3 linked regions of the Stegostoma tigrinum genome follow. The protein of the gene in region 3 binds, or shares a complex with, the protein of the main gene of each other region. Links are inferred from orthologs where the notes say so. Each region holds a gene or a part of one and is shown on either strand. Other genes may lie near its edges. The genes, in order: rho guanine nucleotide exchange factor 12-like, sema4d and plxnb1b.

Region 1 (7,952 bases), on a different chromosome or scaffold from region 3:
TTGACCATATTGACTAGATATCCTAAATTAACATTTGCCAGCATTTGCCCTATATCCCTCTAAACCCTTCCTATTCATGTACCCATCCAAATGGCTTTAAGTGTTGTAATTGGACCAGTCTCCATCACTTCCTCTGGCTGCTCATTCTACACACACACCACCCTTTGTGTGAAAAACTTGCCCCTTAGGTCCCTTTTAAATGTTACCCCTCTCACCTTAAACCTATGCCATCTAGTTTTGGACTCCACTAGCTTGGGGACAAGACCTCGGCTATTCAACCTATCTATGTCCCACATGAATTTATAAACTTCTATAAGGTCACCCCTCAGCCTCCAATGCTCCAGGGAAAATAGTCCCAGCCTATTTCAGCCTCTCCCTATAGCTCAAACCCTCCAACCCTAGCAACACATTGGTAAATCTTTTCCAAGCCCTTTCAAGTTTCACAACGTCCTTCCTGTAGCAGGGAGACCAGAATTGAATGCAGTATTCCAACAGTGGCTTAATCCTGTATAGCCACAACATGACCTCCCAACTCCTATATTCAATGCAATGACCAATAAAGGTAAGCATACCAAATGCCTTCTTCACTACCCTGTCTATCTCCAACTCTACTTTCAAGGAACTATGAACCTGCACTCCAAGGCCTCTTTGTTCAGCAACAGTCTGTAGGATCTTACCATTAAGTGTATAATTCTACTCTGATTTGCCTTTCCAAAATGCAGCACCTCACATTTATTTAAATTAAATTCAATCTGCCACTCCTTGGCCCATTTGCCCATCTGATCAAGGTCCCGTTGTACTCTGGGGTAACCTTCTTCGCTGTCCACTACACCTCCAGATTTGGTGTCACCTGTAAATCATATCTCCTATGTTCACATCCAAATCATTTATATAAACTGATGAAAAGCAGTGGACCCAGCATCGATCCTAGTGGCACACAGCTGGTCACAGGTCACCAGTCTGAAAAGCAACACCCCACCAACACCGTCTGTCTCCTACCTTTGAGCCAGTTCTGTATCCAAATGGTTGATTCCCGTTTTCCACGTAATCTATCCCTGCTAACCAATCTATCATGTGGAACCTTGTCGAATGCCTTACTGAAGCTCATATAGATCATGTCTTCCACTTTGCCTTCAATCATCCCACGCACAAAGCTATGTTGACTATCCCTAAGCAGTCTTTACCCTTCCAAATACATGTAAGTCCTGTCCCTCAAGATCCCCTCCAACAACTTGCCCACTGCCAATGTCAGGCTCACCGGCCTATAGTTCCCTGGCTTTTCTTTATCACCTTTCGTAAATAGTGGCACCACGTTAGCCAACCTCCGGTTGTTCGTCACCTCACCTGTGGCTATCAATGATACAAATATCTCAGCTAGGGGCCCAGCAATCTCTTCCCTCGCTTCTCACAGAGTTCTAGGGTACACCTAATCAAGTCCTGGAGGTTTATCCATCTTTATGCATTTTAGGAAATCCAGTACCACCTCTTCTGTAATGTGGACATTTTTCAAAATGTGCCTATTTATTTCCCCAAGTTCTCTAGCTTGAATTTCCACTCCACAGTAAATACTGATGCAAAATACTTGTTCAAAATCAGAATATCTTCCCCATCTTCTGCGGTTTCATACATGGGGGGCCTTGCTGATCTTTAAGGATCCTTGTTCTCTCCATAGTTACCCTTTTGTCCTTAATGTATTTGTAGAATCCCGACATCCTTAACTGGGGGAGTAAACTGAAACACCCAGGAGGGAACCCATGCAGACATGGGGAGAATGTGCAAACTCCACACAGACGGTTGCCTGAGGGTGAATTTGAACCCCAGCCCCTGGTACTGTGAGGCCGCAGTACTAACCACTGAGTTACTGTGCCACCCATTTCTTTGTGCCACTATCATAGTCAAAGATGTTGGTAATTAAACACTTTTGCGTAAGATATACTCTCAAAGCTTTCGTCTCAGGAGTCAAGATCATGTGTAGTCTTCAGAGGGAAGAGTTAGTCAGCAGAGAGAGCAGAACCAGGATACTGATGTGATTCATGCTTGTTTTAGAGTAATCCTTAATTTTTACATATCTCAATTGTAAAGTCCCTTGTAACTGAATAACGCTGTCTGGACTGTTTTTGCAGTCCTTTCACTAGTTCATGTTCTGCAATTCCCAATATGAACACAGCACATTTTGGTGGAAACATTCAATAGAACCGACACATCCTGAATACTGCCAGGTCCTGGGCGGAGGGGTTTCTGAGTTGTCGATGTCTCAGATCCAGTGGAGATTTCAGAAAGTGAGGAAAGTGTAGTCACAAAATAGAGGTGTTGGAGGGAGTACCCAAACTTCCAAACACCTCAGCTGCCTCACATTCTGCAGGTCAGCTATTAGACTTATCAGGCATCTCTGAACCAATTCCCGGAATGGTGGGATTACCATATGTTGAAAGATTGGAGCGACTGGGCTTGTATACACTTGAGTTTAGAAGGATGAGAGGGGATCTGATTGAGGCGTATAAGATTATTAAGGGATTGGACACTCTGGAGGCAGGAAGCATGTTTCTGCTGATGGGTGAGTCCAGAACCAGAGGACACAGTTTAAAAATAAGGGGTAGGCCATTTAGAACAGAGTTGAGGAAAAACTTCTTCACCCAGAGAGTGGTGGATATATGGAATGCTCTGCCCCAGAAGGCAGTGGAGACCAACTTTCTGGATACTTTCAAGAAGGAGATAGATAGAGCTCTTAAAGATAGTGGAATCAAGGGTTATGGGGATAAGGGAGGAACAGGATACTGGTTGCGGATGATCAGCCATGATCATAATGAATGGTGGTGCTGGATTGAAGGGCTGAATGGCCTACTTCAGCACCTATTGTCTATTGTCAATCAAACTAGAAGGGAACCAAATCTTTCTCAAGGAATGGGGAAGGACTGAAGTTTGGGATTAGGAAACATTTTTGGATCAATAACTCACGGCACTTCCCAGCAAAAGGGACTCTGGGTTTGGAGCGAGATTTATCCTGGGTGTGGAAGCAGATTGATTTCTGATTTGCTGGGGATTGACTCATTTTTGGAGTGGGACTGAGTCTGGATGTGGAGCAAGACTGATTCCAGCATTGGTCCAAGACTGAATCGGGTCAGGAAGGGGATTAAGTTCAGGTTTGGTACAGGATTGACTCCAAGTTTGGAGTGGGACAGACTCAGGCTTTGGTACATGATTGGCTGGAGTTTGGAGTGGGACTAATTGACTAGTGTCGTGGAGTCATTGAGTCATAGAGCATGAAAGCAAACCCTTTGATCCAACTCATCCATGCTGACCAGGTTTCCAAAACTGAACTAGGCCCCATTGCTGTACCCATCCAGGTGCCTCTTAAATGTTGGAATTGTACCAGCCTCCACCACTTCCCCTAGCAGCTTATTTCTTGTACATCCCACCCTCTGTGTGAAAAAGATGCCTCTCAGGTCACTTTTAAATCTTTCCCCCCTCATCTTAAACCTATGCCCTCTAGTTATAGACTTCATAACGTCGGGAAAAGACCTTGCCTCTTCATTTTATTGATGCGTCTTTTATAAACCTCGGTCAGGTCACCCCTCAGTCTGCTACATGGACACAGGGAGAATAGCCCCAGCCTCTCCCTATGACTCAACCCCTCCAGTCTTGGTAACATTCTTGCAAATCTTTTTTGCACCCTTTCCAATTTAATAACATCCTTCCTACCACAGGGTGACCACAATTGTATATAGTTCTCCACACGTAGCCTTGACAATATTTTGTAGAACGGCAACATGACATCCCAACTCCTGTTCTCAATGCGCTGACCAATGAAGGCAAGTGTGCCAACTGCCATCTTCACCACCATGTCTACTTGTGACACCATTTTCCCCCTTTGAAAACACTCCCCAGGGCCCTATCATTAACTGTACAAGTCCTGCTCTGGTTTGTCTTACCAAAATGCAGCACACCTCTTTTATATACATTAAACTCAATCTGCCATTCTTTGGTCCAATGGTCAAGTCCATTGTACTCTTATGTGACCTCCACAGTCCACTATACCATCAATTTTGGTGTCATCCACAAACTTTCTAACCACGTCTCCCAAATTCTCATCCAGATTGTTTTTTTTTAAATGACGAACAACAGTGAACCCAGCATTGATCCTTGTGGTGCACTGCTGGTTACAGGGCTCCAGTCTGAACAACAACTCTCCAGGACCTCACCCTCAGGTTTCCTGTCGTCAAGCCAATGTTGTATTCAATTAGCTGGCTTTCTCTGGATTCCATGTGATCTAACCTTACTAACAAATCTAGCTTGTGGTGGCTTGTTGAAGGCCTTGCTAAAGTCCATGTAGACTACGTTCATTGCTCTGTCTTCATCTATCTCCTTGGTCACCTCTTCAAAAAACTGAATCAAGTTTGTGAGTCATGATTTCCCACACACAAAGCCAGGCTGACTATCGCTCGTCAGTCGTTGCCTTTTCAAATGCACATAAAATTATTCTGTCTCTCAGAATCACTTCCAACAATTCACCCACTACTGATGTCAGACTCGTTGGTCTGTAGTTTGCTGGCTTTTCTTTGCAGCCTTTCGTAAACGATGGCACAACATTAGCCACCCATCAGTCTGCTGGGGCCTTATCCGTAGCTGTCTATGCTACGGACTCTGCAATTTCTTGCGTATATTCCCACAATGTTCTGGGATATACTTGAGTCCGGGGCAGGGCAGCATTGATTCCAGGTTTAGTGCTGGACTGACTGCGGGTGGGTAGCGTGTTTGATTCCGGGTTAGGAAGGAAGTGTTGGTGCATAGGATTACTTTGCGCGGAGTAGGTCTGGAGGCGGCGAGGCGGCGGCGGCGGATGGAGGGCGGAGGTGAAGCGGCTCGAGTGAAGTAACAAAGTAACAACCGGCACCGGGAGCGGGGACACTGTCCGGGGGCGGGGGACCCCACACCCAGACACTGACAGCGACTAACTGACCGGGGCAAGAGACACGGCCCGGGGTCCAACTGACCGGGACTGAGTATCCGGGAGACGGGTCCGGAGCTGGGGAGAGTCCGAGGCCCGGAGCCAGTGACCGGGGCCCGGAGCCAAGGAGAGCCCGAGGCCCGGAGCCGAGAGCCCGGGATACTTTGGGATACAATCTGCTACTTTCCTGATACATTGCTGCATTTTATTGCTTTTCTTCCTTGCGGATACTTTGTTTCTGAGTGGATCCTGATCCCGGTTTGGCCCACTGTTTCCCCTCCGGGAGGCTGCAGCCCCGGTTTCAGTTTTGGCCCCGGACCCGGGGATGGGTGTTCGCTCCTGGAGACGCCTGTGAACCGCCAGAAGCGGCGGCCCCTGGAGCACTCCGAAGGTCGGCTGTCCCGCATTTAGATCTCGGCCGGGAGCGGCGGAAAACTCGGGGACGATTGCGGAGGAGAAAATGAGAATTGGATAAACTTGGAATCATTGAGAGGAGCCAAATGAGCGTTACACCGTCCGGCCTGAGTGAGAGGTAAGAGAGGTGCTTTAAAAACCCGACTGGAGATAGTTACCTGGGTGATCATATTCTTATTGTGGCCTGTATTAATCTCACTGATAGTCCTGGGAAGAGCAAGCGGGTGGAGAGGATGCAGAGATTCTCGACAGTGGTGCCAGGACTTGTGCTGGAGAAGCTGGGATTGTTCACCTTGGAGCAGACAAGGTTAAGAGCAAAAACAAAGTTGCTGGAAAAACTCAACTCTGGCAGCATCTGTGGAGGAGAAACCAGACTTAACGTTTCAGGTCTGGTGACCCTTCCTCAGAACTTGCCAGAATCTTTCAAAATCATGAAGGATAGGTTAATGTGAGGGAGACAGACCGAGCAAGAGGGTTGCGAGTCCAGAGGCTTTCAGATTTTTCAGAAAATAACTTGTTTTGGGGGTGGGATGCAATAAAAATTTTATAGTTTTAAATGGGTGATGAAGGCATATTCAATAACTTTTAAAAGGTAATTGCACGATTCATGGAAAGGAAAAAAATGCAGGATTATGAGGAAAAATATTGGGCACCTTGTGAAGAGTTGAACAAGTTTGAAGGGCTGATTAGCATCTGTGTTAAGATAAACTTATCCTAGGAACCAGACAGTAATGGTGACAGGATCAGTAACATTCGCTTTTAGTTTGCTAAATCTGAGAGATAATTAATGGTATTTTGGAAGCTATAGTTCACAGTTTCAATTCTTTGTCTGCATGGGTATTGGCGAACAGTCAAATCCCAAAGCAGTTAGATAATAACTAATGTCAGGGACTAGAATGAAAAACAGTCATAAACCTTGAATACTAACTATACTGGATCATAGTATAATATAACACTGGTGAGTTTGCTGTTTGGTTTCACGTTATGTTCCCACCCTGCTCTTCCTACCCTGTTACAGTAGCTGATTTGCAGGTGAGGTGTTGGGGCCCACTGGAAGAGTTTCTAATTCAGAGCACACATGTTCGATGGAAAATTCCATGGAATCATTGACTCACTGGCAGGATGAGCACTCCACAATCCAGGGATTGGTAAGGAGATAGAGTTTAGCATTGTCCTGAAATGTTGAACAAAAACAAGGTGTGGCTATTTTGATCTGTCAGTCTTGTTGCAGAGTGGAATAATCAACCAGTATACTATGGGAGATGGATCTTTTACTACTTCCTTGAGTTGGATGAAGTTTGGGATTTCACAAACTGCTCATAAATAATCAAGATAATAAAATGTGAGGCTGGATGAACACAGCAGGCCAAGCAGCATCTCGGGAGCACAAAAGCTGACGTTTCGGGCCTAGACCCTTCATCAGAGAGGTCTGGTGACCCTTCCTCAGAACTTGCCAGAATCTTTCAAAATCATGAAGGATAGGTTAATGTGAGGGAGACAGACCGAGCACCCTGTCTACTGGGACTTCTGGAGAGATGAATTCATAGGAAACAGCAAAGTAGTATACTCGCTGCTGGTGAACGTGATGTAACTGTTATTTCACTAGATGCCCAGAGTGGAATAGTGCAAAAATTGGGCAGAATGTGGAGATTTCTGAGGAACATTTAGGGCTGTGACCAATTAGAAGGGGTTTCTGTAATTGATTGTTGTGCGTGATTCACAATAATATTGTATGAAAAAAATGTTTGCATAACGTATTGGGACCTCTTCAGTGTGAAAGACCCAGTTGATGCGAAGAACTTCTGAGTAAGATTCAGGAACAAGAGCAGTTCCATGTGGAATAATATCTGCTTTTGCTCGAAAGCAGCCAATCAGATTGCAAACTTTTGATCAGGAAGCAGTAAAATGGGAACTGATTTTCCGGAGAATGAAACAGCTGATTGAGACCGACCAGACATTATCGGTTTGATAGTGAAGGGAACATTCCAGCAGTTTAAGGTGATTGTTAAGGGCCACTGAGCTGTTGACTTGGTTGTGTCTTCACACATCAGGAACTGAGTGGTAATCTTTCTGGCTGAAACTACAGAACCCAAACCTGGTTGAATCAAGCCCAATTCCGGCTGCAATAATCTACCTTTTTAGTAGGTGTGTGGATAGAGGATTATTACACCCACTGCAACTCAATGGGAGGAGATTCCACTTTGTATCAGTGTCCTGAGTCATCACTAGTGACCCCTGTACAGTAGTAGACCTTGCCACTTATTCCCAGCCAGGCCTCTCCTGTGGGATCTGTATCATAGAATTCTGCTTTTCAACTCAGTCGGCTCCAGAAGGCACTATTCAGAATGAGAGATAATGGGAACTGCAGATGCTGGAGATTCCAAGATAATAAAATGTGAGGCTGGATGAACACAGCAGGCCAAGCAGCATCTCAGGAGCACAAAAGCTGACGTTTCGGGCCTGGACCCTTCATCAGAGAGGGGGATGGGGGAGGGAACTGGAATAAATAGGGAGAGAGGGGGAGGCGGACCGAAGATGGAGAGTAAAGAAGATAGGTGGAGAGGGTGTAGGTGGGGAGGTAGGGAGGGGATAG
Region 2 (8,070 bases), on a different chromosome or scaffold from region 3:
AAGGTCAAGACAGTAGTTTTGATGGCAAAGGTTTAGTTAATAGCTGAGGAAGAGAGAGACTTTACTTTAAAGAGAAGTAATTCAAAGACGTAAGCAGCTGAAAGAACAGCACAAGATAAATGAAGGGAAGGTACAAGGCCAAAACTAGCAGGCAGTGGTAACGTATCAGATCTGAAGGACAATACAGATAAAGGAAGGGATGTAACCACAGATACATTTACAGATTTTAAATTTGAGCTTGTATGTGAAGGGAATGTATATAAATAGGTTGGCGAGCAACAAGATTTGTTATGAAAACAAACAGGTGGACAAGCTCAGCAAGTTCTAAAAAAGGGTCACCAGACCCAAAGCGTTAACACTGCTTTTTTTTTCTTCACAGGTGCTGCCAGACTTGCTGAGCTTTTCTGGCAATTTTGTTCTTGCTCCTGATTTACAGTATCTGCAGTTCTTTTGGTATTTAAGATTTGTTCTGATTTTGGATGATGTCAACTTGGAGATTGAAGTTCAAGACATTGGCATGGTAGATTTTATTGTAGAAAGCCTAACTGTATTCAAAAACTATCTTCACAGTTAATAAAGCATAATTCAAGATACCATGCATTTTAGTTGAAGCAATTGGAACAAAAGATGAAGGATATTCACGCAGAGTACAAACCATGCAAACCCGAGATTGAAAATCCATTGGAAATAAATCTACTAATCACATTGTAATTATTTGTTTCATTTTTGAACATTTACATGATTTTCACTGCAATGGCAAAGGCTACAAGCTAATTCACATCCTTTCCACAAAAAAAAAACGAAACCCTGGCCAAAATTTTCTCACGCTGAATACCATAACGCTGAAATGACCAAGGGTTACAATGAAAAACTAACAACTTAAAATATATAATGAAAAATTTATGCTTTGTTACTGTCAAAGTAAATCTAACCTATAATTAATAGTAGTAATCAGAACATTAAGGTTTATCATTACAGATTATTGGCAAGTTTATATCTTATAGAATTTGGTAGATTTAAGGAATCTGATGAAATTCATCTAAACCCAATTCTATTTTGGTGGAGTTGTATGGCTGAGGACAAAATCAGGCTATCTCAACATTTAAATAAGTCTGTAAAATCTGAAGATATTCTAATGCCCAAACAAAATAAATTTTCTAGCTTTTCAAGTTGCAAAGAAAAAAATGCAAAAACTGAGAAATCCAAGTTTATCGAAGATTTGCAACTTTAAGATCCTGACTACACCTCTGGAAGGGAAGAATGAATGACTTACTTATGAATGATTCACATTGTCATTTGTATTTAAACTATAGCGAAAAGTTTCAGTAACCAAAATCTGGTACCATTTTGAATAGTTTGAGTAAAAGAATAAAAGATACAACCGAAAAAGAGAGTCTTGAACCTTGACCAGCTCACCAAAGGCAATGGCATTCTAGAGTTGCACTAATATATACATCATTGGTAAACTGCTGAGAACAAATTACTTTTGTCATTTTATGTAACAAACAAATAGGAACAAATTCAGGAACTTTGAAGTGGGTCACCTTCCAATCTCATTTTAACTTTCTCCCCAACCCGGTTGCCGTTACTCTTTAAGCATCAACCAATCCCTCAAAACACCGTGACCAAGAAATGCAGGAAAGTGACCTGTGCCTCGGCCTTTGTTGATGTAGCATTCAAGCTGACTATTCGTAGTCATGGCAGAACAATATGGATCGATTTACGTTTAGAAGAAGAAGGCATTCAGGGCAAGTTCACAGAATCGGTAACTTGGATTACTAATACTACTGGGCAAACTAATACATTACCAGATTTTTTGTAGTGTAATCTACAAATGCGTGGCTTGGACTGTTCTTTGATTTATTTAATTGAAATTAAAACCAAAGGAAAAATGTTCCTTCTTAATCCGTGAAAGTGAAAAACGACGATCTCGTCGACTGTAAATGCATATGCAAAGATTCTTTTTTAAAAAAATAAACCCCATACGTTTTTACTAGAAGCAATTTTTTCTACACATATCGCAACACATGTTTAAAAAGGAAATTAATAACCCAAATCTTTCTCGTTCTTCCGCCTTTCTGAAACGATATCAATGAGAACCATGGGCAAAAAGCAGTCATAATGTGACCATCCTTACTCAGTTGATAAAGCTTTTCAATTCTCAGTTTATAACTGATGCGCCAGACGTAGAAGCTGAACACTGGAGTCACAACAGCGGCATAAAGTTGATGTTTGACCAATTGTTTTGTCTACCCAGAGGACCACGCAATGCAAAATTAACTCCACAAGAGACACAAACACAAAACGTGGCATGACCTGAAACACCTAACTAACTGTTTATCTAAAGTTTGTTGTTTTTAAGAATGCGAACAAGCGCGTGTGGTTTCAGAAAACTACGCTGCAGAGAACCACCGCAGTTACTGCTTGTGAAGTACTTCAAGTCGGCTGGACAAACCGAGACTCGCTTTCTTTACTTAGAAAGCGACACTATTTTTAAAAGGACGAAAGCTCAGTCAGACTTGTGCTGCAACCGCTGCCCCTTAAGTAAAGCATTTTTTAAGGGGGAAAAAACTGTAAAAAGCGGGCGCTGATATATGACTTACCGGAAAAGTGTACAGGAAACGTGCAGCTCTACCTCTCGCAACAAGTCCCACAACCACAACTGACAGTATGGCGGCCAAGGTTGGACTGGAGTTAACTGTAGTGCTTATCAGACCTCCACCATAGGCCGTCCCCGAGCCCCTCTCCAATTCGCTTCCCTTTTCCCACAGCAGGGTTAAAGTAGCAGCTGGGTCCCACAGCTGGATTTACCACTTACAACTGATCCGATCAATCTCGCAGTCCTCTACAAAACATACTCCTTTCACTTCTGTTAATGTTTGCTGCTTAAGCGTGAATGTGCCATGCGACGGTAATTTTTATTGACAAACGAGTGAAACGTCCTTTCGTTTATATTTTCACCTCTGATTTTAAACACGATACATAAGTTTCACCTACTAAGGTAGAGCAAAAGACTCCCAGGAACCTCCTGCAGTGTTAGATTAATGATTTAATTTCCTATTGAGTACATTAGCAGTGACTGGAATGAGCGGTTTTCAGTTCGTAATACTGAGCTCATGTTACACGCTGCCCATATTTTGCTACGTGTGGGAGTTCACCCAATACGACAAACGTGTAAAGTTCTGTACTCATGCTTAATAAAAAGAATTCTCTGGGGCCGGATTTGATTCCCCATCTCTGTCACTTTGGTCTCACAGCTACAGACGAGTAACATGACCCGTACACAGTAGGCTCTTTGTCAATTAAGTTGAGACCAAAATTGCATTTCTTAAGAAATCTAGAAATAAAATTCAATGAACAGCCAAAGCCATAACCAAAGTTAAAACGTCTGCTCAAAAACAGAAGTTGCTGGAAAAGCTCAGCAGATCTGGCAGCATCGGTGTTGAAAAATCAGAGTCCACATTTCGGGTTCAGTGACCCTAAGAACCGATGGTCGCTGGAAAAGTGTTGGTTTGTATGCAGCGCAAAGGATGGGGACGGGGGTAACGTGTAAACAGTAGATAGGGTTGGAGCCCAAGGAGAGACAAACAAAAAGAAACAAAGAAACCTACAGCACTGGAACAGGCCCTTCAGCCCTCCAAGCCTGCGCCGATCAAGATCCTCTGTATAACCTGTCATCTATTTTCTAACGGTCTGTGTCCATTTGCTCCCTGGCCATCCATGTACCTGTCCAAATATATCTTAAAAGACGCTAATGTGTCTGCGCCCACCACCTCCGCTGGCAACGCATTCCAGGTGTCCACCACCCTCTGTGTAAAGAACTTTCCATGCATATCTCTCTTAAACTTTCCTCCTCTCACTTTGAACTCATGAACCCTAGTAATTGAGTCCCCCACTCTGGGAAAAAGCTTTTTGCTATCCACCCTGTCTATAGCCCTCATGACAACAGTAGTTGGATAAACAAAGGAGTTGAAAACGATCTGGCTTGTAAGGTGAATAGCTGCTAATGGGGAATGTTAGCGACTAACAACAGGTAGTGTGTTATGACAGTCTATGTGATGACAAAGCCTGCTGTGTGGAGTAGGGTCTAGGACATGGGAGATTTTAGGCCCTAAAATTATTGAACTTGATATTGAGTCCAAAAAGCTGCAGGGTCCCCAAGTGGAAAATAATGTGTTGATGTTAGATGTTGGCCAGGGAATAGGGTGGTGTGTTAAAGTGGCAGGCAGCTGGAAGCCTTTTTTGTGAGCAGAACCTTGATGTTCTGAGAAGTGGTCACCCAGCCTATGCTTCGTTTCCCCAATCGAGATGAAACCACATTGTGAGCAGCGAATGCAGTAGACTCAATTGTGAGAAGTGCAGCTTCATCTGGAAGGAGATAGTAAGAACTGCCAACGCTGGATTTAGAGATAACACAGTGTGGAGCTGGGGGAACACAGCAGGCCAGGCAGCATCAGAGGAGCAGGAAAGTTGATCTTTCTGTTGGGTTCTGAAGAAAGGTACTGATCCAAAATGTCAACTTTCCTGCTCCTCTGATGCTGCCTGGCCTGCTGTGTTTCTTCAGCTCCACACTATGTTATTTCTTCATCTGAAAGGTACGTTTGGGCCCTTGGTGACTGGGGAGAGAGGTGGTAAATGCTATTTTTTCTATTTGGGCTCTATCCCCACCTATCAATTACTCCTTACCCCCTACCCCACCCTATGTGCTGCATATAAACCTATATTTTCCTAGCTACCATCAGTTCTGAGCAAGGGTTGCCAGATCCAAAATGTTAGCTCTGATTTGTCTTCACAGATGTGCCAGACCTGCTGAGCTTTTCCAGCAAATTCTGTCTTTGTTCCTGATTTACAGCATCTGCAGTTCGTTTGGTTTGTAAAACATTTGTTTGTGTTCATGAACAATCCAGCAGAACACTTGGACCATGTGTTGCAAACTGGCCTTGCAAAACAAAATATTACTATATTGCCCTTTATGTTGTGTGGAATGAAGGAATTACATTTTAACAATAATTTTGGAGCACAGCTCGAAAGGAATTGGTATCATAAACATTCTTCCTTGAAAATAAACAGTTTTTGAAAATAATATTTGGTAACAGCAGTCTGGGCCTATATTACATTTGGATTATTTACAAAGGCAGCAAAAAATTAAATAAGAAAAGCGTAAAGAAATTTGGGGAGTCCACCACTATTTCCATACCTAGTGAAAAAATTAAGGGGTGCCTGTTGTGGGTGTGGTCTGGAGGAATATTGCAGGTAGTAGAAATGGCAATTCTAGATTTGGGGACCAGTAACTTACCAGGGTTATCACATCTGAGCATCAAGAGATGTTGATTAGGAGGTGGACCCATCCACCCTTTGATTTGCTACAGGATGCCAAGCAGTCAATCCAATGGATTGAGTAACCCTCAGGTTGTAAGGCACAGTCAGTTGAAGCTGTAATGAGCCATGTCTCTGTAAAACAGAACACAAACATTCACTTTGTTAGAAAGATTTCTCCTTATAAGACCTAGCAAGTTTTCTCAAGCCTTCTTACCAAACTCTCCTTATTAACAACCTACCAAGACACCATATGGTGTACGTCTTGTCCAGTGCTAGCCCAAAACTACCAACCACCATTACAAGAAGAACTCATCACTGTCAGGATACCCCAGAGTAGACTGGCTTCCCTGGTGCCAGTGTGTGCTTTAAAATACCATTGTGTATTCAGACAAGCATAGTCAGTCCAGAACTGTCCTGCATAGTTCTTAGCAAGAGAAATTGTTACACATTTTCTCATTGCAGCAGGAAATATCACACAATAAAGCATGAAGAGCCAAGCCAAAATCCTGATCTTGACCATCCTATGGGGCTGACTGACTGTGTCCAAGCCAGTGGATGGGTATCTCAGACTGCCTTTGACTTACTGCTTTGGGACCTCCTGGCTGACCAATGTTTCCCATGATTTGACTAATGATTGCTGACAACTGCAAGTTTACTGGCATTGTGCCTATGCTGAATGACAAGGCAATATAACAATCCTGTGATCCTGGTAACTGACTAATGGGGCATACTGCAAAAGAGCAGGGAGGGGCAAGGCAGGGCAGAGATGCTGTGAACATCCAGGTGGGGTCAAAAGTGAGTAAGTGTGAAGAAAGTAAGTCAGCACCGCTGAGATGCAACCTTGTCTAATCATAAGCTTATGTACACATGTAAAGTGTTCTTGCAGCAACATTATCATGATGCATTGATAGACATCCTCTTTGGCCACAGGTAGGGACTGGACAATAGCCAATATTGTCCCATTGTTTAAGAAAGGTAGTAGGGATAATCTGGGAAATTTCAGGCCTGTGAGTCTCACGTCAGTGGTAGGGAAATTATTGCAAAAGATTCTCAGGGACAAGATCTATATGCATTTAAAAGCAAATGGACTATTAACGATTAGTGGTTTTGTGTGGGGGAGGTTGTGCCTCACTAACTTGATTGAGTTTTTTGAGGAGGTGATGAAGATAATTGATGAGGGTAATGCACTTCATTTTGTCTCCATGCGCCTCACTAAAGCCTTTGATGAGGTCTTTAACAGCTAACTGGGTCAAAAGGTGAAGTGATGAAGATGGATGCAGAACTGGCTTAATCATAGGAGACAGAAGGTAGCGGTGGAAGGATGCTTTTTGGAATGGAGGGTCGTGACTAGTGGTGTTCCACAGGGATCAGTGCTGGGACCTCTGCTGTCAGTGCTCTAGATGAATGATTTGGAGGAAAACATGGCTGGTCCAACTAGTAAGTTGGCGGACAATACAAAGATTGGTGGACTAGCAGATAGCAAGGAAGATTGTCAGAGGATACAGTGGGATATAAATCAGTTGGAGGCATGGATGGAAAAATGGCAGACGGAGTTTAATCCAGCCTAATGTGAGATGATGCATTTTGGAAAGTCAAGTACAGGTGGACGTTATACAATGAATGGCAGAACCCTTAGGAATATTGATATGCAGAGGGATCTGGGTGTGCAGGTCCACAGATTGCATGCTTACCTTCATTGGAAGGGGCATTGAGTATAAGAATAGGCAAGTTATGCTGCAGCTTTATAAAACTGTAGTTAGACCACACTTGGAATATTACCTACAGTTCTGGTCACCATGCTATCAGAAGGATGCGGATGCTGTGGTGAGGGTACAGAAAATGTTATCAAAGATGTTGCCAGGTATGGGGGATTTTGACAATAAAGAAAGGTTGGATAGACTGGGTTTGTTTAGACTGGAATGCAAGAGGTTGAGGGGCGACATGATGGAAGTTTGTAAGTTTGTGAATGGCATGGAAAGAGTGGAAAATATGAGGCTTTTTCCCAGGGTGGAGGGGTCAATTACTATTGGACATAGGTTTGATGTGCGGGGCGTGGATGTTTAAAAGAGATGTGTGAGGCAGTTTTACGCGCAAAGTGTGGTTAGTACCTGGAACATGCTGCCAGAGGAGGTGGTGGAGGCAGAAACAATAGCAGCTTTCAAGAAACAGCTGGACAAATACATGAATAAGAAGGGAATAAAGGGATCCAGATCCTGTAAGTGAAGACAGTTTTAGTATGGAAGGGAAAAGCGTGTTGGCGCAGGCTTGGAAGGCTGAAGGGCCTGTTCTTGTGTTGTATTGTTCTTTGTTCTTTGTTCTTTGTTCTTTGATGGTTGCTCATCTGTCTCGAGGTCCAGCATGGCAATACAGAAGCACATTGTAAATGGATTGGATATGTGCCATGGTGATTTGGTGTGTCTGTCACTTGTCAGATGCCAGCATCCATTGATATCTGTTGAACTGGCAGCACGGTGGCTCAGTGGTTAGCACTGTAGCCTCACAGCACTAGGGACCCACGTTCGATTCCAGCCTCGGGCAACTGTCTGTGCGGAGTTTGCACATTGTCCCCATGTCTGCGTGGGTTTTCTCTGGGTGCTCCGGTTTCCTCCCACAGTCCAGAGAAATGCAGGCTAGGTGGATTGGCCATGCTAAATTCCCCATAGTGTTCAGGAGTGTGTGGGTTATAGTGGGATGGGTCTGGGTGGGATGCTGTAAGGGGCAGTGTGGACTTGTTGGGCTGAAGGGCCTGTT
Region 3 (7,472 bases):
CATTGCCTCTGCTTTTCTAGGCTGCAGCTGGTTTGGGAAAGTAGTCATTCTGACACAAGGACTGAGGGAGGGCTGTTTCTAGCTTTTGATGCTCTGTTGCTGACATGTTTGCTTAGGATGGGTCCTTTGAGATTCTCAGATGTGTATAATAAAGATGCTGTTTAATCTGTACTGCTGCTTTCTCTCTTGGATTGTACTGATCACCTTGGTAACCACTTGAGTGGTTGCTGCTGTCTCTGTTTGCCTGGCTACTGGGTTACTGAAACCTTTTAATTGGACTGAAAATGGTTTGAACTTGAGGATGGGGGCGAAAAAAACAGGAGTGTGGCTTTCATGTATCATCAAGGAGCCTATTCATCAATGAAATATCTTCCAGAGAAAAATAGTGTTTGCCAACAAATGGCTAACCGTGTGGTTTCCTTGAATTACCACAATGCAGGTGCTGCGCAAATATACGATGTTAGATGACACCTGCATGCTGCCACTAGTCAAGTCTGTGTTATCCCTTTGTTTGAAGGGCTCAAACTAACAACCTCAAGGCAAATGGTTCTGGAGAAAAGTTAGCTTCTGTTACTGAGACAGCTCTTTTTATAGTTGCTGATGGGTGGAGTAAGATATGAACAAAGGAGGTTTATTAGGTTACGTTAGATTCATGCAAGTCGGGACAAATAAATGGATCAAACACTGAAATGTGATTTTTTTTTTGTTATTAGCATATTTACATTGTAGTAAAGCTTCAATAAGTAAGTGGTTAAGCAGAATTCCCTGGGGCTAGTCTGCCACCAATATTGCTTCTTCCAACTCATTCATCCAACAAGCTGCTAACCATATGAAACTTGCACCTTTTTGTTTGGAGTCGTCACCATATCTTCAGGTTGGCTTGGAGATTAGCTCAGGAAGGGACTGAAATGTGAAATGTTGTAGCATACAGGCAGGGGCGGGTATTCCGCAACAGGTACGCACTGCGCCTTTAGTGTGACAAAACATTCCAAGGCATTTCACAGAAACAGTCAAACAAAACGACGCAGAACCACAGAGTGAGGGGCTGGGATATCTGAAATCCACAGCTAGGTCTAGGACAAGTTTTAACAATCATCTTTTAAAAGGATAGAGAAGCGGAGAGGCAGGGAAACGGAGACGGAGGGGGATATGTGAATCGGGAGCAAATGGAATCAGGCATGTGATTTCTGAAGAAGGGTCTCGGCCCGAAACATCAGCTTTCCCGCTCCTCTGCTGCTTGGCCTGCTATGTTCATCCAGCTTCACACCGTGTTATCTCAGCCATTTGGTCCCTTGAGCCTGCTCTGTAAATCGATAAGATCCTGGTTTGTTGGATTGAAGATGCTTTCTTACCAACCTGTTCAAAGATATTAATCTCGATTGTGACTTCTACTTTCCAGCATGCTGCTCATAGTCTTTGGCTCCTTTGTCAGTCAAGACTTTAAAATCCACCTTTTTAAAAAAAAATCCAATGATCCCGTCCTCCCGTCTCGGCAAGACAATTCTGTAGACTATCGGCCTCTTGAGGGAAATAAATTCACCACATCACTACCTTTAAATGGGACACCACATTTTTAAAATGACCTCAAGCTCGAGTCTCTCCCACAAGGAAAGCATCCTTTCAACACCCATCCTGTCAAGTCTCGTAGTATTTTTTATCAAAATAAGATCACCTTTCAAACCTCGATGGATACAGTCCAAACTGTCCTGTCAAGATGTACCTCAGACTTCCAGTCTTTTCCGCACTTCCTTAAAAACCATGCACAGTATCGCAGATATCCTCTAACCAATTTTTAAAAAACACTTTTGCAAAAATATATATTGTTACTAGAGTGGTAAAAGGTACATTCCAGAACATTTCAAACTAGTCATTACGGAAAATGCAATAAAATACAACGTATCTCAATTGAGCACACTGCATTCTTAGACACTTTAATCAATTGCAGACTAACTGTGACGTGTACTGTACCCATTCAGTGACAAGCTTCCAGTCCAATGAGCTCTAAGTTATCAAGCTCTTGTTACACTGTAGCTGTGACCAATGCTCTGTGCAGCTGTGACAAACCTTCCCTACTGTTATATTCTATTTGCCTTGCAAGAAACAACATTACATTTGTTTTTCTAATCATTTGTACTTGCATCCTAACATTTTGTAATTCATGTATCGGAACACTGATTACTCTGTCCCTCAGAGCTCTTCTGTGTCTGCATTCAAATAATATGCTGCTTTTAGATATTTATTGCTGCAGTGGACAAGTTCACATCTTCTCACGTTACATTGCAGTTTCCAAACTTTGCCCCTTACTTAACGATATCCCTGTTTGCAAACTCCTTGTGCCCTCTGCATGACTTTTCTTGCATCCATCTCTGTGTCTCCCGCAATTTTGTAATTTCACATTTGGTCCCTTTATCCAAGTTTTTCACATTGATTGTAAGCAATTGAGTCTCCATCACTAATCCCTGTGGAGAAATGGATATAGTGTTTGCTTGAACCTCAATGAGTGCTTCCATCGATCTTGTCATTCAAAGTGCCCTGCCTTCCACGAGATGTCTGAACTTTGGGGAGGGTTGCAGTCGCTCAGAGATAGCAGTCGTTCCATTTTTTTTTTGCTCCTCAAGTCGGATTTTCAGGTCACTAGTTAGTAAGCACATTGAGATTCCCATCGAGTGTCGACGTGAGATAGATCTGAAAGGAAGGTCCAGTGGGGAGAGATGACTGCTGCAACACTTGGAATCCTCACTGAGTCTTCGAGTTCCAAGCTCAGCCTGCATAGCTCATGTGAACTTCTACTTCGAAGGAACCAGCTCCAGATTCTGTGTTACAAGACAGACCCTGACTGAATTCTCTCATACCTGTCTCTGTGTCACCATCTCTGTAATCTTCTCCGGCCCTGCAAAGCTCTAAGAAGCTTTCACTCCTGCCGTTATAGAGTCAGTCATGCAGCACGAAAACAGACCCTTTGGTCCAACCAGTCCATGCTGACCAAGTTTCCCAAACTAAACTATTCCCTTTTATTTGCATTTGGCCCATATCTCTCCCAATCTATTCATGTACCTGTCTTTTAGATGTTGTAACTGTACCTGCATCTACCACTTCCTCCAGCAGTTCATTCCACATAAAACCACCTTCGATGTCAAAAAGTTGCCCCTCAGGTCCTTTCTAAATCCTCTCACCTTAAAAATATGCCTGCTCGTTTTGAACTCTCCTGCCTTAGGGGAAAGACGCTTGCTATTCAGCTCACCTATGCCCCTCATGATGTTATAAACCCCTATATGAGATCACCCCAAAAAATGTCCCGGCTATCCAACCTCCCCTTACAACTCAAACCCTCCATTCCCAATAATATCCTTCTAAATATTTTCTCCAATTTAGTAGGATCCTTCCTATATCCATCTCCTGCTGAATATATGCTATTGGCTGAACTCTGCTGTAAACTCTGGAAATCCCCTGTCCTCCCTCCCCACCTCTTTCCTCCCTTGTAATGTTCATTAAAAGCTGACCTTACTGCAGGATATTGCACATCTGACCCAATATCTTTCTGTGTGGCTCACTATCAGGTTTTGTTTGATAACGTTGCTTTAGGACAAGACTGTATGTTGAAGGTAGTCCTGACAGACAAGCTGTTGAGATTTCTGTGACCTGCCTACTTAGGTGGATGCTTTGAGCTATTCTACCACGGGGCATGTGCATTTGCAAGGCAAGGCAAAGTTTGAGGATTCTCTGGCATCTGCAGTTCCTATTATCTCTAGAATAAACGCTTACTGACTTGGTTTTTTTTGCTGAAACCCCTTCTGTTGGCTGCAAAGTACACAACAAGTTGCAGTAAGTGCACATTTGGGTTGTAAGTGGCTTGTGTCTGGAGAACGCGTGCCCCGAGCAGCTACTGTAACAGGAGCATAGCTTTTTGTGAACTGCCCTAATGGCATCTGGAGAATGTGCGTTCCACCTGAATGTATTAGTGCAGATAGTGGTTTTGTGAATCTGAAGGGCCGTCAGTTTCTTATTGATTCTCACAAAAAAACACACTTGCATCTTTTTAAAGCAGCAAGATAAATGCATGTTTAAAAAAATCCACAAGGGTTTCCTTGGGGGATCAATTGCATAATATGAGAGAGGCAATTTTGAACTTGTCTATTCTTTTATTGCAGGTTCTGTTTTGGCTTGCATGCCTCTTGCCTTATTCTTATGACTTCAGACTCATGCTTTGAAGGTGACCCAGTTTACAGGTCTTTCAGCTCTTTTTTTCTCTGCTGAAGATTTTCTTTCTGAGACTTACTTGCTTTTGTGGTTTAGGAAGCTAATTAAGCTCTGCATTCCTTGTTGTGTAGGATCAGGTTGGTCACATTGTGAATGAGTGAGTCATTCACAGCTGTCGGCCTTTGACCTTGCTGATCATCCGTAACTTAGCAACTTGCTGGCTTCCTGACTTAGACACCGTGATGCTGGAGCTGTGGAGATGGAGGTGAGCATATGTGTTCATCAGTGATCAGCAATTCTCTGACTGAGTATATTGTGTGGCATCCTTGTTGCTGCCATATGCCACCTGCATGTTGCTGTGTTTGTACAAAATATCAGGTTCTTCTGTGTAAAATGCCTTGCAAGTTTTTAATTCTGGCACTCTTCTTTTGAAGAGGGTTGGCCCTGCAATACAGTATTGTCACAGAATCTTAGCCATGCAGTTACCTGTGGTGGAAACTAAATAACAATTATAAAACTGCTGTCCTTTGAGCACCATCGAAGCTTACTGCAGGTTCAGCTTTGAGCTAGACAGCTTTTAAAAGTCACCAATGCTTCTGTCCCCATCTTATCTGAATTGTCTCTGGGTGAGAGATTAGCTTCAGAGAAGCAGATCTGTTCTGCCTCGTCCCACTACAGAACAAAGGAATTAAAATGCAAAATGTAGTAGTAGCCTCACGGACCCAGTGTCTAACTGTTAGAGATGTGCTTGTTGACTTTTTTAATATGTTTACTCTTTTGGATATGAATGACGCTAGTAAGATCAGTTTTAATAGCTGATCCTGATATTTAACCTTAGCTGGGTTGTTTTCTAGGCCATTCCAGAAGACAGTGGGTCTTCGATGCGAAATGTTGTCATCAACTGAGTGTTGCAAACTGGCATGTGGAAACGTCCCGGATTACATGTTAAGGGATGTACTGAAGCTAGAAGCAGCTCCACAGAGGTGCACACTAGGGCACAGATGCTGTTTCTGGGCTAACAGCAGTGGTACACTAAGGGACACCTTGGCTGTGTTCCTCAAAAGGAATATAGACGCTGGACATTGTAATGAGGCACCTCGGAGAGGGGTATCGAGAAAAGTTTATTTCTCTTGCACTTTCTGACATTTTCAACATGAAATGTTTTGTCCTTGCTCTGTGTGCTTTACACAAAATGTGTGGTCTAAACATTAAGATATCATCATTGATGAACCCAAGGGTGCAACATTGTGTGCGAAAACAAGTTGAATTTTGAATTCCATAAATTCTAAGTGGAAGATAGTGTGTAAAATGTGCTGTATAAATTTCTTGAATACAGCAATGACGTTGACTTTGGACTGGTGTTAGGTACAATTCAGACAGGAAGATGACAGGCTCCTTTCACGAAAGGGACAGTTTCACGGCCATTATGAACTTTCTAGTTTCAAGATGGCCTCAAAACATTCTCAAGTGGCCCTAATTTAAGCTTTCATTCTCTGAGTTATTCATCCAGACCTTTTGGATTACCAGACCTTTTCATGTAACCACTGTGATGTTCCCTGTTTTTTCTCATACAACACAGAGTAGCTATCACCATTATAGTAGGCATCAAACAGGTTCACTCAGATGACCTTGTCCAACAGCTGTAGCCATTTTTGTTGTTCACACAGCACTGTGGATGTCCTCACATCACATGGACTGCAGTAGTTCAAGGAGGCAGCTCATCGCTCCCTCCCTAATTAGGTATGAATAAGTGCTGACCTCACTACGGCAGTACCCACATCCCACAGAGGAGTCAATTTCTGAAAAGTAAGAAAGTTTGAGTCTGCTTTTGCTCACCTGTGGCCATCTCTTGATTTGACTTTAGGTGCAGAATAACGTAAAGGATCCAATGGCAGTCTAATGTGGAAAAGTTATGTAATCTTGGCCATTTTGTTTTCCTTAGCCAACAGCTAACACAGATTACCTGGCTGTGATCGCTTGGTGTTCGTGAAACCTTTCTGATGCTCTTGACGGTTGTGATATTCCATTGTCGACAGGGCCCTCAACCAGGTCTGACCTATCTCCCGCACTTCCGCCCTCACCTCTTCTCTTCCCTCCGGCAACAGTGACCGGGTTCCCCTTATCCTCACCTACTCTCCCACCAGCATCCACATTCAGAAGATCAACAGACACCGTTTTCCACCACCTCCAGTGAGATGCCATCACCAGACAAAGACATTCCCTTCCCCTCCTTTGTCCTCCTCCTGCAGGGACCGTTCCCTCCAGGACACCCTGATCCACACATCCTTCACCCCCAACGCCTCCTGACAGCCCCACGGCACCTTTCCCTGTAACCGGCGAAGGTGCAGCACCTGCCCACTTACCTCCTCCCTCCCCAGCATCGAAAGGCTGAAACATCATCTAGGGGAAGCAACACCACCTGCACTTGCCAGAATCCAGTCCACTGCATTTGCTGCTCGCAATGTGGTCTCCTGTACGTTGGGGAAACGAAGTGTAGACTTGGTGACCACTTCATAGAACATCTACGTTCTGCTCGCAGAAAAGATCTTGAACTATTTGTTGCCTGTCACTTCAATGTACCATCCTGCTCCTTGGCCAATTTCTTTGTCTCTGGCTTGTTGCAATGTTCCAGTGAAGCCCAACGCAAGCTGGAGGAACAGCACCTCATTTTCCACCTGAGGACCCTACAGCCCTCCGGACTCAATATTGAGTTCGATAATTTTAAGGTCTAAACTCCCCCATGTCCCAGCCCCCAACCCCACACACCAGGCCTTGTTGCCACATAGCCTGCCATTACACACTCCCTATTGTTGGCCACTGACAGTCCCCATTAACAACTATTCACCCTCCCAGCCTGATCGTTAGCAACTCCTTTGACTGTGCGACTGCCTTTCTCTCTCTTTGGGCTCTATCCTATCATTTACTCCCTACCCCACCCATCTCCTTACTTTCTGCATATAAACTGATGCTTTCCCAGCCACCATCAGTTCTGCGGAAGGCTCACCGGACCCGAAACGTTAACTCTGGTTTCTCCTCCACAGATGCTGCCAGACCTGCTGAGCTTTTTGAGCAACTTTTGTTTTTGTTCCTGATTTACAGCATCCACAGTTCTTTCGGTTTTTATTTGCTTGTGACATTCCATTTGGCTGCCACCTTTTCCTGCATCACAGCAATGCTGAGTCAGTGAAATGCTGTTGGAGGTGTGGAGGTTGTGAAAAGCACAATTTAAATCTGAGACTTGCCTGATTTAAATGTGCACACTTTAATCTTGTAGG

The links.
Region 1: the proteins of plxnb1b (region 3) and rho guanine nucleotide exchange factor 12-like are in contact, whole or in part, in an NMR structure (PDB 2OS6), measured with the Homo sapiens proteins. The link is inferred for Stegostoma tigrinum from reciprocal best matches to the Homo sapiens genes PLXNB1 and ARHGEF12. Residues at the interface, in NP_001123554.1 of Homo sapiens: Glu2129, Lys2131, Val2132, Thr2133, Asp2134, Leu2135; in NP_056128.1 of Homo sapiens: Phe82, Gly83, Leu84, Thr85, Val86, Ser87, Gly88, Asp89, His127, Val131, Lys135.
Region 2: the proteins of plxnb1b (region 3) and sema4d are in contact, whole or in part, in a crystal structure (PDB 3OL2), measured with the Homo sapiens proteins. The link is inferred for Stegostoma tigrinum from reciprocal best matches to the Homo sapiens genes PLXNB1 and SEMA4D. Residues at the interface, in NP_001123554.1 of Homo sapiens: Leu80, Pro81, Pro82, Glu87, Arg136, Pro137, Gly138, Asp139, Thr140, Tyr142, Gly178, Glu202, Lys205, Ala207, Gly209, Arg210, Ser212, Glu213, Arg235, Arg242, Asp359, Val360, Asn361, Ser362, Leu367, Pro368, Thr371, Tyr375, Ser379, Asp380; in NP_001358123.1 of Homo sapiens: Glu99, Lys100, Gly101, Phe158, Tyr179, Phe181, Leu182, Gly183, Ser184, Arg198, Tyr201, Ile203, Glu208, Val240, Leu264, Arg265, Thr266, Leu267, Gln268, Lys270, Thr347, Gln350, Ser351, His352, Thr353, Asp388, Gln392, Lys395.

Annotation. Positions count from the first base shown.
Region 1 is NC_081385.1:198,128-206,079, reverse strand, and holds the start of rho guanine nucleotide exchange factor 12-like, read left to right. Parts: upstream 1-4,822; 5' UTR 4,823-5,445; coding exon 5,446-5,477; intron 5,478-6,377; exon of another isoform or gene 6,378-6,481; coding exon of another isoform or gene 6,482-6,507; intron 6,508-7,952. UniProt on the Homo sapiens protein: May play a role in the regulation of RhoA GTPase by guanine nucleotide-binding alpha-12 (GNA12) and alpha-13 (GNA13). Acts as guanine nucleotide exchange factor (GEF) for RhoA GTPase and may act as GTPase-activating protein (GAP) for GNA12 and GNA13.
Region 2 is NC_081356.1:53,945,771-53,953,840, reverse strand, and holds the start of sema4d (semaphorin-4D), read right to left. Parts: upstream 3,055-8,070; 5' UTR 2,604-3,054; intron 1-2,603. UniProt on the Homo sapiens protein: Cell surface receptor for PLXNB1 and PLXNB2 that plays an important role in cell-cell signaling. Regulates GABAergic synapse development. Promotes the development of inhibitory synapses in a PLXNB1-dependent manner.
Region 3 is NC_081364.1:17,663,232-17,670,703, reverse strand, and holds the start of plxnb1b (plexin-B1), read left to right. Parts: upstream 1-4,351; 5' UTR 4,352-4,439; coding exon 4,440-4,462; intron 4,463-7,472. UniProt on the Homo sapiens protein: Receptor for SEMA4D. Plays a role in GABAergic synapse development. Mediates SEMA4A- and SEMA4D-dependent inhibitory synapse development. Plays a role in RHOA activation and subsequent changes of the actin cytoskeleton.